Drosophila melanogaster: one gene and its partner. The protein of the gene in region 1 interacts with the protein of each later gene in a biochemical or structural test. Each region holds a gene or a part of one and is shown in the gene's direction. Other genes may lie near its edges.

Region 1 (7,027 bases):
TGTCCTATTTGAAGTTTTAGTGGATCTCCCCATTCCTGATTGCTGATGCATGGATGCGATTCCGCTGCTCCCTCAGAAATTTAGCAGGCAACAATTTAAACAAATTCAATTGTCGGGGGAAGAGAGGGCCGAGCAAAACTCATTTACACTTTTGCCTGCTGTTGCCCATGGCAAAAAGCACAAATAAGTAAAATATGAGCAAAAAAAAAAATATGTACACAATTTTTGCAAAACGAAAATTCTTGAGCTTAAAATTTGCATTTGTTATTACTTCGTCGGTTTGCAGTGGCAATTGTTGAATATGCAACAATGCCCCAGAACAGAACCTCTATTCCCCGCCATCACCCTACCTCTTCGAGCGCAATAACTCGGTTAGCAGATTTAATTCCAAGCCAGATTCTGATTGTATTACAATGTGGGCGGCAGCACGCCCCTGCCATTTGAAAGTGGAGGAGAACAGAAATATACGTAGAACATTTTCATAAATCATAAAATTTTTGCTTGGCAAATGAACTGAATTTGCCCCAAGTTGTTGAGCTAGGGTAAATGTTTTGTAGGTTGCCAAATGTGTGGAGATCTGGGCGGAAATTAAAGTAAATTGAAACTACTTTGCCAATCAGTTGTAAAATAAAGATTTGCTTTCACCGAACTTCATTAATCATTTTAGAACTATTTTTAAGTGCTTTTAAGAGCCAAGAACTGAAGCTAGAAATACTAGGAAATATCTTCCACTTTTTCGTTTTACATTTTTATCCTAATTTCTGAAGTGCATTTTTTATTCGTCGAGTTGGAGTTAAGCAAATTCCTGCAACAATATTTTCTGTGCTACCAAATTGGAAACTTTTGGTTTTTTGCCTTTTCGCAAAGTTTCTAATACCGAGCAAGTAGCGAATGCCGCTCATCAGACTGCTGCCACGCCCCCCGGAATCCCCGACGCCCACTTAACCCCACAGTGACCCAGACTTTTAAACACCTCTGACAATATGTGCAGAAAGTTGATAACTGGAGAAATGTTCTGCGCTCGAGTTGGTTAGGAGTTGTGGTAAACTTTACCGAGATGGACTCACAGCGGGTGGTGGATGCTGAATGGCAGCATGAGGTGGCCAAGGTCAGCGGAATGTCGGGCCATAATCGGCTTGTTTAATTAGCTCACTAAGCCCCACCTGGATGGGCATTATGTGGCTGTCGGAATAAGATGCTCTGATTGAAAGTGCCGCGTGGCTTGCCACAAAAGCGACAACTAATTGCCACATAATCAACAACAGCACAGCAGCACAAGCAGCCGCAAAAACAAGGGACAACTAAAGCCCAAGGCCGCAGGCGAGGTTTTTGGCTGGTTCTAGGCATGTGGGGTGGTGGTGCGGGTGTCACACAACTGAGTGGGTGGATTTTGAACACTTGCGCTTTTTACCAACTCAATTTACGCTAATTACTGCCTTTCGCTCCAGCGATAACTGCTGTCAGCTGGCTTGCACCCCGCCACTTTTCCCGGATTTTCATCATCCCGATACCGCATTCCCTTCAAAGAGCGGGAAATCCCTTAGCCGGCTACACAGTTTCCCATCTGCCACGCATATCCATACGCCGCGCGAATTTATATTGTCATTAGCTCTTTTTGTGCCAGCTTCAGTGTATATTATTGAAATCCCTGCCTTCTGGCCATATTATCCAATTCGCTGTTAAATCGTGGAAGAGCTAGTCTAAGAGCACCAAAGAATTGTTCAGTGCATGCGCACTCTTTGCCAAATTCCATACAATTTCTCTTTGATACTGACCTAAGTCTGTCAGTCTTGCTCAAGATATTGTCCAAGGCAGACGGTTTGCTTCCCTTATAGAGACGAAGTACCTAAATATAAATAAATGAGAACGTAGCATGCACAAAGCGTATATAATAATGATAATTTAATATTAAATTATCTAAAATAAATGAATATGTTCTTGGGAAAAATATTATAACTTTTCTCATTTATTAAAATTGAACTTAGGATCTTATGGAAGTATATGAAATAACATAGTTTCCTAAATTCAGTTAAGTAAGCATATAAGCAAGTAAAAAATAAATGGGATCAATAAGACATTATGTTGTTTTTGGGTTTTGCTATAGTGATTATGTTCTTTTTATGATCCTTCACTCCCTCAACCGGATTAATTCTTTTTATTTCAAGTTTCAACTAAAATGGCTTAGATTATTTTTTTTTAAGAGACCTATAATAAAGCACTCTAGCTGAAACATAAACTGAAATATTACTCTGCTTTTAAGAACTGGAATCCCTACGTGTCACTTAACTTCACTGCATTAAAATTAACTTAACCCCTTAAAAACAGGATCGTAAAGTCCGCTTTTATTTGCTTTGCGAACATAATTCGACCTCAAAAAACACCCTGCTGCCACTAAAAAAATAATCGCGGATTTCCAAAACTATTTGAAACCTTTTATTGTAAGACCTTGAAAGTGAACATAGTGTTGTGATTAAAAGAGAAGAGGAAATTAAGAGAGATAAATGCGGCGAATTCAGCTGAAATGCTCGGCACACGATTTTTCCGTCCCTCTTTTCCAACGACTTTTCCCGAGCCGAAGACAACAAACCCGAAGCGTCGCTGATAAAGGCTCGTATGAGTTCGGGAATCCCCCCCGGAGGCCCCAACAAATGCTCCACTGCTGCCAGAAATCAGTTTCAGTTTCTGTTTCAGTTTCAGCGCGACATCGACGGTGAACGAAAGGCGAAGGCGCGGAAAAGCGCGTGAAAATCCGAATAAAAAGTTGAGGGAAATGTGAGGCCCAAATACGTGAGGCGCGACATTTTCCGGACTATAGTGTATGTGTGTGTGTGTGCATGTGCGTGTGTTTCTGTGACTCGAGGCTAGAGAGTGTGAGTGCAAACGGATAAGAAAAGCGGGCACAATTGGGTCGTAAATTTTGGAAAACGTGTGAAAACGCAGGAAAAGCCTCATTGCCCCATTGCCGGCAGTCGAAAATTGAATGACCTTTTGTCGCTTTTTTTTTGTTATTCCAGTTACTGTTACTGCTGTTGCTGCTATTGCTCTTATTGTTAAGCTAAAACGCTTTCGGCACGCGAATATTTTACGACATCGTCTCCAAAAATTATACACCTAAAAAAGAAAAGTAATCAGAAATCTAACGAAATTCGGTGCGTGTCAGCTGCTTGCCAAATGTGGGGCCAGAAAAAATGCAGGAAAAGAATTCTGTCTGCGGACAAACAAATTATAAAAGTGTTAAACGCCCACACAACGTCCTCCAGCCCCGCCCCTTGGCCATCTCATTAGCATGCAGCAAATTAAGTTGTTTTATATTTAGACCGCCAAAGGGGAGCCCAGACCCCAAATACAAATTAACAAATTAAAACAACACACAAATGCCAAACAAAAAACAGAACCAAACCATCTTTGATCTGCGTCAAAACAAAAAAAGCGCTGCCACAAATATCGAGCGTTAATACATTCATTTCTGTGTAATCTAATATTCCGGCCGAGGGGAGACACTAAAAGAATGTGACAAAAATTAATAGAAAACCCATAAAATATTAACGGAAAACAAGTGTGCATTGAAATTTACGACAGACTGATCACAGTGCGTATGCGCAATGTGCGTCGCCGCAAGAACCGAAATATATCTCTCGTATGGGTATGATAAGATGTTGTGGCTGTTGGGGAAAATTAAGTTTCCTTGGGAAAAAACTTTCGCTTGTCTCAACTGCAGTTGTTGATGGAAAAGTTTTGTCGAGTGCCAAGCACTTTGGCTTTTCAACGATTTTACTTTTGCCCGCCCCAGCACCATTGTGTTGTGGTATCAACTTTTGAGGCCACGAGCTTATGTGCAATCCTTGCCTGACATCCCCAAACACAATTAAATTGTTTCCTTTCTTTGTTCTCGCACATAATGCCATGTAGCCAATAAAATGTGAAACCCTTTCTCAATAAAATATTCATACAGCAGGAATTAACCGGCACACAATGGGGCAGAAACAAAAGCAAAGATTGCCCACGGGCATTGGGTGGGTGTGGGTAGGGCAAATTAAGCCCACCCGGAACTAGAGTTGCCTCCTAATCACAGTTACTAAACATTAGAGCAGACACTGCCCCCAAGCTGAGAGGCAAAATGCAGACGCTTACAATTAGAAAGAGTGGCAAGAGGACTCTCAGAAAGAGAGGGGGGATAGTGGCAACGAAGGAGATGGGAATAGTAGCAATTGAGTGCGTTAACACTTTTGAGAGACATTGCTGACGTTGGCAGGAGTCTCAGACTCCGTCCCTGAATCCCGAATCCTTCCCTCGAGAACCTGGCCCTCCTGGTTCGCACATTCTGGAACCCCTGGCCCCTCCCTAATTCCATTACGGAGGCAACAGTGACAAGTGGCCAAGGATTCCAGCCAGGATTCCCAACAGGAGCAGCATGTCAGCAGCAGCCACTTCTGATTGAAGTCGCACACAGAGGTTTCTGCAGGCAAAAAAATTAGAGATCAGGGATCAGATCCTTTTTAAGGATTTGCTTTAAAACTATATATTTTTTAAAATATATACATGAGATATCGTATAAGCTGCTTAGCAATATTGCATTAAAATGTATATTTTATATCAATGATTTATGATGGCAAGAGTTTGTGCATTGATGATTCATAAATTTTTTATTGTTTGAAGTTCTTTTTTGAAGTCCTTTTATAATATTTGTTTATTTTTAATCAATAAATCTAAATAATTGTTATACAAAATCTTATTCAATTGTTTCCATTATACATAATTAGTTTCCATTGTTTCATGCGAAAATCTTTCCATTGTTTCACTGTACCGGCTGATTAATTTTTTCTCAGCATGTCGAATGAGTCCTGCAGTTGAACTCAGACCTTAATCCCATCCCCCTACTCATTAGTCTGTCTGTCGTCTCTTTGGTGCAGCGGAGTTTGCAATTAATTAAGTTTTAATTAATTTCACACAGTGCAAGAGGGAAAAATTCGAAAGGAAAACACACACCGTGTTTCAAGGGGCGTGTGAAAAAGGCAATTCCCCAGCAAATGTTTAACAAATTAGATGTGAGGAGAAGTGCCCGAGTAGCATAAAAGTTTTTCCCCTGGGCAGGGCAATTGATTGATGCCAAAGTGAATGGATGGATGGCAGCAGGTCTGAAAATAGCCTCAGCCGGAAAATGGGGCGTTACTGCTTTGAACAGTTCTCCAAAAACGACTCATAATTTTGGGGTCGTGGGGGCGTTGAATTATTTTCGGATCCGGACACATGCCACCGAAGTTTTAGGAAATGAAATATGCAAGGGCAGCTGACCAGAGACACTTCAATCCAACTTCTGTCAAAAATTGATTCTGGTTTATGCATTAACCATTATTAATTGTATGATGTGAGCATGTCCTTCAAGGGAAACTGGATTGGGCGTGTAATGTTCTTCTAATTTGTGGTGTAAACTTTTGTGCGCTCATGGAGAGGGAAAAGGATTCCATTTTAGGCCACTCACCTATTGAAATCAATAGTGGATTGCTTAGAGAAAGAGCTGTTTTATTGGTTAGCAGAATTTCTAGAATCTCTTCGAGAAAATCCTTGTTTTTACCATAGTTTATTATCCATTAAAGTCTGTTATTATCCATTATCAGCCCTAAAATCAACACAAATTTAATCAATTCATGTTCCACGACATCAAGGGTGATGCGACGAAAAAAAAAAAACAACGAGACCCGGACAAATGAAATTCCTTTTAAAGCTCTTTAGCCCCAGACGAAAATCAATTCTTTTTGGGTACGTTCCAGGCGGAATGAAAATAAAAAGTTGTCCATGGAAATGCGAAACGAGTCGGGCAACAAAAAATATTATTTCGGCCTAGGACGAGCCAAAAGAGCAAACACAAGTGCAACTGCAATTGCAACAAGCAGCAGCAACAACAGCGGCAGCAGCAACAAGGACGAAAAACAACAAGGACGATTCTGAAAAAGTTCAACAAACGAACGTTAAAGGATTAAATTGTCTGCCATTGATATTAAGTGTTTTAAATGTCATTGCAAGTGTTTAATTCACGCGAAACGAAAAGAGAAAATTGAAAACAGGCGCAATTGCAGAGAGAAAAATTTGCATACAAAGCTACAGTCTTAATTTATATTTATTGCGCTGTGTAGAACTATCTTTTATAACGTTTTTTAATTTTACAAAAATTGAAGATAATTTTTGTAGGAATAGCAATCTTCAACCTTTTTTGTAATAATTGTAATAAAAGCTAATAACGCAAGCATGTTTTAAAGCGACTTATAGTTTTTCTCTCTGTAGATGAAGCTAATAGAAAGGAAGACTTAAAAAAGTGTTGTGAGTGAAAAAAACGAGTTCAAAACAAACATATATTGCCGTAGATCAAAACTCGCAAAGCCAAGTGCGAATTGATAGGACAAAGGCAAGCCTGATAAAGTGAAAGAAAAAAGAATCGAAGGAGAATTTGAAGCAGAGTGCAAAGGTTGTTGCTGCAGCCCTAAAAAATAACCACAAATCGAGTGGGTCATCGCAAGATGTTGACCCTGTGGACGGCACTTTTCTGCTGCCTGACGGGTAAGTCAAATTCCCCACAGGATCCTGCCAGCACACACAACTCATCCCATAAAGCGCAGTCTGCTTAAGCATGCATAAGATTATCAGCAATATATATACCTATTATATACATATACAATATAGGCCTCCATCAACCCGCTCAAGGTTGTTATTGTTGCCGCCTCGCCGGGCGCTGAATCCTTTTAAAAACATTTGTGGTTCGGGCTGCGAAAATCCTGATTTATGTTTCTGCCTGCTGCGTTGTCCTTGCAATCCTGTGCTGCTGTTCTGACATGGCCACTGCCAACCGCAGCAGGAGCAGTGAAAGCGATGGGTACACGCAGAGGAAAGTCTAGTACTGAACTGATCAAATAATAACTTTTTAATAACTTACTATTAATTCTTAACTACAACCATATATTTTTAATATTATTAATTGATAACACTTCTTTTGAACTGAAATAGGCACATACAGTTTTGATCTTTTAAGAAATAC
Region 2 (7,089 bases), on another chromosome or scaffold:
ATGACCAATCGGTCCTTCAGGGTTCGAATAAACAATGTCACATCGAACTCCCACATTTTACACAATGGAATCCCGCAGGGTTCGCCACTTTCGGTGGTTTTATTTATGATAGCTATTGAAGACATAAATGACATTGTAACTCGGCATAAAGATATTTACATCTCACTATACGCAGACGACGCAATAATCTTTACTAAAATAAAAAATATTAACACAGTTAGAGAAAAATTCTTAGAAATATTGCAAGAAATTAACTCGTGGGGAGCAACCTCTGGGGCCTCTCTTGCCATTGAAAAATGCCAAACTTTACATATCTGTCGGAAACAACGTTGCAACCTTTCCGACATTGTCTTTAACAGCCGCACAATAAAAGATGTAAATTTTTTAAAAATCTTGGGGATAACCTTCGACTCCAAACTACTTTTTAAACAGCACTGTCAGACTCTAAGAAAACAACTGGAAACTAGATTTAACATTATTAAATTTCTATCATCTAAATATTCTTACATACATATTAAGACTCTCATAGATATTACGCGCGCTTTAATGCTATCTAAAATTGACTACGGACTGCCAATCTTCGGTTGGTGTGCTAAATCACACTTAAAAAAGCTACAAGTCCCATATCACGGAGCGGTCCGTCGCGCCATTCACGCATTTCCCACATCTCCAGTAGCGTGCACATTGGCAGAATCGGGTCTCCCGAGTATCCAATCACGCGTAGAAGAAACTACATTGATGCTTATCCCGAAGCTGTACACCACGTCAAACTGCCTGCTAACCAAAGACTTCGGAGCCATATTTAAACAAAAACGGAAATTCAAGTGCATATCCACCCTAAGACGTTGCGCCAACTACATCAAGCTACTTGACCTTCCCCTGCCTAAGCCCAGGAGGCCCTTCAAATCGCCAGCACTTTGGGGTTCCAAACAGCCTAACATAAACCTTCAAATATACAATGCTGCCAAAAAGGATACAGGTCGCCTAGAATACCAAAAACGTTTTATGAGCGCACAAGAAGATCTTGGTGTGAAAAACTGGATCTACACCGATGGTTCTAAAGTCACCGGCGCAACTACTTTTGCGGTCGTTGACTCTAACCGTAAAATAATTGCAGGAGGTAGGCTTCCGTCCTACAACTCCATATTTACAGCCGAAGCTTTCGCCATTCTCAAAGCATGCCAATTCGCTTCCAAAAACGCTGGAAAATCTGTTATCTGCACAGACAGCCTCTCCTCTCTTTCCGCTATACGCAACTGGAACCATAATGACCCCACAACACAAGAAGTTAGGCACATTCTAAGTTCTCACCCAAAAAAAATCACCTTACTCTGGGTTCCCAGTCATCAAGGTATTCATGGGAATGAACTTGCTGACAAAGCCGCCCAAGAGATGAGGCTTACACCATCAATCCTGTTCACTCCGTTTAACTCCAAGGACCTAAAAAGTCGAATCAAGTTATACCTCAAAGAAAGGAAACTCTCCGAATGGGCACTCTTCATGCACAGGTACCAGTCTATCAATCCGAATTGCATCATGTTCAAGCCACCAACGAACGTACATAAACGGGAATGCGCGACCTTTATCCGTCTACGCATCGGGCACACCCAATCCACACATCAACACTTACTGACGAGATCGGCGCGACCAACATGCCAACTATGCGGGGACGAGCTCACCGTTGACCATATTCTCAACGCCTGCAGTCAATTGCACTCAATTAGATCTCACTTATTTGGTACACATAGTCTCTCGAATTGTTTAAGTATCCCATCCTGTGAAAATATCTCAAAAATTTACAAATTTGTCCAAAAAGCTAAGTTTATTATATAAAGCAATTAACCCATAAGTCTCGAGTCGAAGGCCCCCGTAGCTAGTACTCATTAAATTTAATTAGGTTTAGTATTGTATACTATATTTAATTTTGTTAAATAAATAAATAAAATAAGATGATGTGCTCAAAACAAGTTTTGTTACCTAACCTAGCTAAGAAACAATGCAATCTGGAGTCGTTGACAAGTATGTATGTAACAGAAGCAGAAGGAAGTGTATAAAAACTAGTGACTAGTCTTACAAGTTATCTTCAAACGTTATAGTTACAGTTGTCGTTAATGTCTAGCTAAAATGTTCCTATTTTTTCAACAACAAAAACTGCCTTAATCGAACTATTGCAACCTATGTAAAGTAAATTAAGTAAAAGTTAAGTCTATTGAGACTTCTGCTTGCTTCCACCTTTCCATCTCCCTTGCACAGTCCTTAGGTGATTAATAAATATCCGATAGTCGCATTCATTAAAATCTTTTTTTGGAAATTTAATTAATATGTTTTAAAAAGTGATCAAGCAAAATAAAGATATATTTTCTAACGTTCGATTTATTTTCAATATGCTTTCGTCTTTCTTTGACTTTTCCTAATTTTTTGCACAAGGTAAGGCTTAAAATATCGTCAAAAGTCGGCTGATATAAATTCTATATGTATTCCAAAACAGCTAACAATGTTATATCCCATTTGAAAAATGATGAAAGCGAACAACCGAAAAACTAGCTCTTGGTAAAACATACAGCCTTTTATATTTCAGCAATTGGTTTCTGTATAACTTTAACTCGTTTTTCTTTTCTTTTAGAATGTTTTTCAACCAATAATAATCAACTGGGCAAAACTAACCACTTATGCAGATCTCTGCGTTTTAAGTTAAGGCAATTGCTCTAGTAAATTTACCAGCTTCTAAATGTTGCTGGCAACATGTTGCCAGAGGACAAGCACTGACGCCTTCGTCCGCCACACGAGCTCGTCCTTCGGAAGCATTTCGGCTGGCCTCGGGATGGCAGGCACGGGACACGGGACTCCACAGTGCCAGGACATCGGAAGTCGGGAAATTGGGAAATCGGGATGGCCGTGCTGCCGAAGGACGAGCACATTGCGCTGGGTCGGCCCAATGCGAAACGCGCTTGGTGCGACAGGTTCAGTGCTCGGGCAACTTCCTAGCGCGTCGGTTCAGTTCAGTCCAGTGGATTCGAGACACGAAAGGACTCAGTTTCAAACTAAAAATTCCAAAGTTTCGAAAACGGGTTTCGAGTGGCGCGAAACAACAACGATACAATGATACAATTACTCTAGCTGAAAGTCGAGAGAAGAGTTTTTGACAAGTGTTAGTTGATTATTTTCAAGTTTTTTTTTAGTGTTGGCCAGTGCTTTGGACTAGTTTCGAAGCTTTGCTTGTTTTTTCGAACAAGGTAATTCTAAGACCCAAAAATTCAAAAGTTTTTCGCGAAGCATACGATGTGAGCTGTGACTGCGTATTTAGAAATTACTACACTAGTGAGGTGAAGCCAATCCCTCGTTTAGTCCTTTACTCCATTGCCCGTCGATCGCTGCCTAAATCATTTCACATACGCTTGTTCACTCATTTGTCAATTGCATTATCGGTGGTATGTTAGCATTCCCTTTCTTTTCTCAGCCTTTCAACCAATTGTTACACCAATCGAGTTGTTTTCTTGCGAATTCTCTCGACTGTTCATGAGTGAATTCCTTTTCAGTTCATTGAATTTCTATGTCCTTTCCGTTTTCTAACATTAACTTTCTTTGTTTGCATTTATGTGAGTCACTCGTCACTCGTTGGAATCCTTTATTCTCGTTTCTTGTTTTCAGTAAATAAAACAGTTGATTTGCCAAGTTGCAAATTAACTTTTGCCAGTTTTTTTTCCCAAAAACAACTATCTTTATACCTTCGTGTGGGGAAAATGTAGTCACCTTTTATGGTCAAAATCATATCGTACATTTTGTCGCATACTAACGATTTGATAAATTGTTTAACATAATTATAAAACTGTCAGCTTGTGTTCTTTTCGTTTTTAATTGTTTGTAATTATATATTTTATATAATATGATAGCATACATTACACATTGCAAAAATTAAGTAAGGTTTTCAATATCTTTTTTAGTGGTTTGTAAGACGATCCGAATTCAATTTTATTTTAAATCCGGTATCCATGTATTGCTTTGAACCCTTTTTGTGTTTCTGATTTCCTTCAAGAACTTTCACCCACCTGAACTTTAAAACCCCATTCAATCTCTCGCTCATCCCTCGCCATCCGCCACCAGTTTGGCACATTCTTGAGGTACCTTTTCTGGAAGACTCCTCCGAAACTTTTTGCCATCGAACAAAAGGCGCCAAAATGAGACTGCAGCATCCAACTAGCAGGCCAAGTTTTTAGTTGGCAATGATTTATGTTTTATTAATATTAAAAGTGATTTATTAGCCATGAAATTTGTGAGCCAACTTGGTCGTTGGCCCTTATTCGACCAGGTGAAGGGAGTGCTGGCTGCATGCGCGATTTTTTAATTACAGATGGAGTGGGACAGGGAGTACTGTCCAGCTGCAGGCTCCATTATCCTTAAGCGCGGACCTGGCCGCTCATTATCCCGACGTCCGAACTTAAGCTAAACTGCTGCACAGCGAGATTAAAATTGTAAATGACAGCCAGCGTGACAGGACAAGGAAGGAGCAGGCATCTGCTCGTCCTTTAATGTCCTGCGCCGTCCAGCCACGCCCCTCTGCGCCCCTCTGCGACCCTGTTCGCAACCATCCGCTCCCCACCCACCAGCCGTCGCATTTTGTCGTGTTTTTAATGAAAATTAATTAATTAAATAACGTTTTTACTCATTCGCATCGCCTTGCCCAGCAATTGTCTTCCCTTGTGCGCAGGTGTGCGTGTGAGGATGCATTTTATATTAAATAATGAAGTGTGTAAAATGTATGCAGTGGCACACAAAAAGAGCAAAGAGGCAAATGAAAGGGCTTTATGCGGCAAATGTAAATTTGGACCTTTTTGGGCACAGGAAATCTCAAGCTTCAAAGTGCACAGAGAAAATTGTAAACGCAATTTTCCAAAATCTTTATTAATGGTTTTTTTTTGGGAAACTTTACTTTGGGAACGTAATTAATTTTATTATTGGTCTCGAATAATCAAAATTTATGTGCAACATTTTGTCATTATATTTGGGAACCCTTTTTGCAAAATGTATACAATGCATACTTCCGAAATACCTAATTTTTTTTGTTTGCCTGTCGAGAAATTCCCCGAAACTTCCCAAAGCCATTGCCAAATTTTGGCATCTCGGTCAACACAAAAAAAGTCATGCACTTCAGTTAGCATTAATTTGAAATTTGACTGAGACTCATCTCGATTCCATCTGGTTAACCGGAACCAAGGCAAGAAGCTTCGCGACTCCTTGTCCGCCGTGTCTAGTGGTTAATCAACTAATATCTTATAAAATCCGAATGGAATCCATCCGAATTCATAATAGAAAAGGGATCTTTGGTTTTGTGCTGCGTCTGGGAGATTGGAAATATTTCTCGATCTTTGTACTGAGCACAGAGGAATTGTGTGCGAGTTCTGCGCCTATGGAACTATTTGTATTGGTCTGAACTGACCCTGAACTGGCTCACATTGGAACCGAAATATATGATGATCTCCAAATTTAATTATCAGAAATGAATTTGAAACACTTCCACATATAAACTCAGTTACTTAGAGTAAACGTAGTCACTTAAAAGAACCTGAGTACTTAATTATAAATTTAAAAAAGGTTTTAAAATATTATTTTTCTAATTATCTTGCAAGCCCCTACAGAACGCCAAAGACATTTTTGCTTGGCGCCCATAAGCCTAGAACCTGTCTGCTTTTCAGATTCAGGCTTTAAATCTTGTTGAAGGTGGAGGGGAATATTTCATTATCACTATCCATTCACATGCCAAAAATTGTTTGCATCCACTCATTACAATGTTACCGTCAAAATAATGTATGCCACATCCTCCATTTACCTAGCCCTTAGGGGTATAATTAAAAATGAGTTCTAATTGAAACTGTAGTTTGCCCTCATAATACATTTACTTTTCAAGCTACTTTGTCTCCGATTCTGACGAACCTTTTGAGACTTTAAAAGGATATTTAAATGTCGGCTTATTGGGTCTAAGCGAAACAAGTTATGTACATATGAATAGATAAGTAGGTAGGTTATGTAACCAAACAATCGAAGCCCAGTGATAACAATAAATTCGAGTAAAATTTACTGCGACACTCCAAGTCGGATGCACTCTGCATTGTGTCCGGAATTGCGAAGCTCCGATTTCCATGTCGAAAGGAGCAAACTGACTGACGACGGGCTGCCTAGGGCATTTAATCGGCGCTATTTGGAAATAGGATATGTCCGAGCCATCCGAGTGCTGACTGATGATGCGGGCATCAAAGTGCAACAGAAGGGAACATGAATTTTGGGAAAAGTGACTGTTCATGTTACCTGCAATTAGTTGGCAGGCGTTCAAATCAAATCTACATTAAATTATGGAATCATATTTCCCAAAATTTTGGTTTCAGAACCCCCTCTTTTTGATTCAAAATGAAATTTCGAACAATAATTATTATGGGGAAAATCGGCAACAAAAGACATTGTCGAACAAAGGACGACAATGGCCACCGCGAACCGAAAATTAAACGAAATTTCGCAAGCATTATTTTCTGGTCCAGACCCGGTTCCGCTGCCCAATTCGCCCCGAATCCTGTTGGAAATAACCCCATTCGCTTGTTTCATTTTTTTTTTTCTGTTTTTGTTTTTGTTTTCCGGCGAAGGCAAACGCAGCAGAGAATGGCTCCTGCATATAATGCAAAATGTCAGCGAATAAATCAGGCTGCGATACATATTTAACCCCAAGATTGATCGAGACCCCACTGAAGATATATGTATGTTTGGTGGAGTGAAGGAAAAAAGTTCTTAAAGCAGCTTGATTTCCGTTTTTGTGTGCTAATAAATGACGTGTCACAGAGAAGCGGAAACAAACACAATTAAAAACGCATCAGTGGCGAATGGTTACACATGTGAGAGTTGGCGCTAGGGCAGCAAATGGTTAAGGACGAGGTTTGGATGGCCAACAAAGCAAACCACAACCAACCAGCACTTGCACATTAACAAAAGGCAAACAACGGCGGCAGCAGCAACATAATAAAAGAAATATTTTCCATACATTAAAAGAAAATTGCACAAACAATTGAGAGGAAATGCCGGAGCGCGACGGTTTCAGTTGCTTTAAGT

The links. Proteins that work in one complex are often made in the same cells at the same time.
Region 2: the proteins of dpr10 (region 1) and DIP-beta form a complex in vitro, tested with the Drosophila melanogaster proteins (one study listed by BioGRID).

Annotation. Positions count from the first base shown.
Region 1 is NT_037436.4:10,181,768-10,188,794, reverse strand, and holds the start of dpr10 (defective proboscis extension response 10), read left to right. Parts: upstream 1-2,686; 5' UTR 2,687-2,870; intron 2,871-6,264; exon of another isoform or gene 6,265-6,279; 5' UTR 6,280-6,512; coding exon 6,513-6,552; intron 6,553-7,027.
Region 2 is NC_004354.4:21,453,610-21,460,698, reverse strand, and holds the start of DIP-beta (Dpr-interacting protein beta), read left to right. Parts: upstream 1-2,960; 5' UTR 2,961-3,148; exon of another isoform or gene 3,149-3,233; intron 3,234-7,089.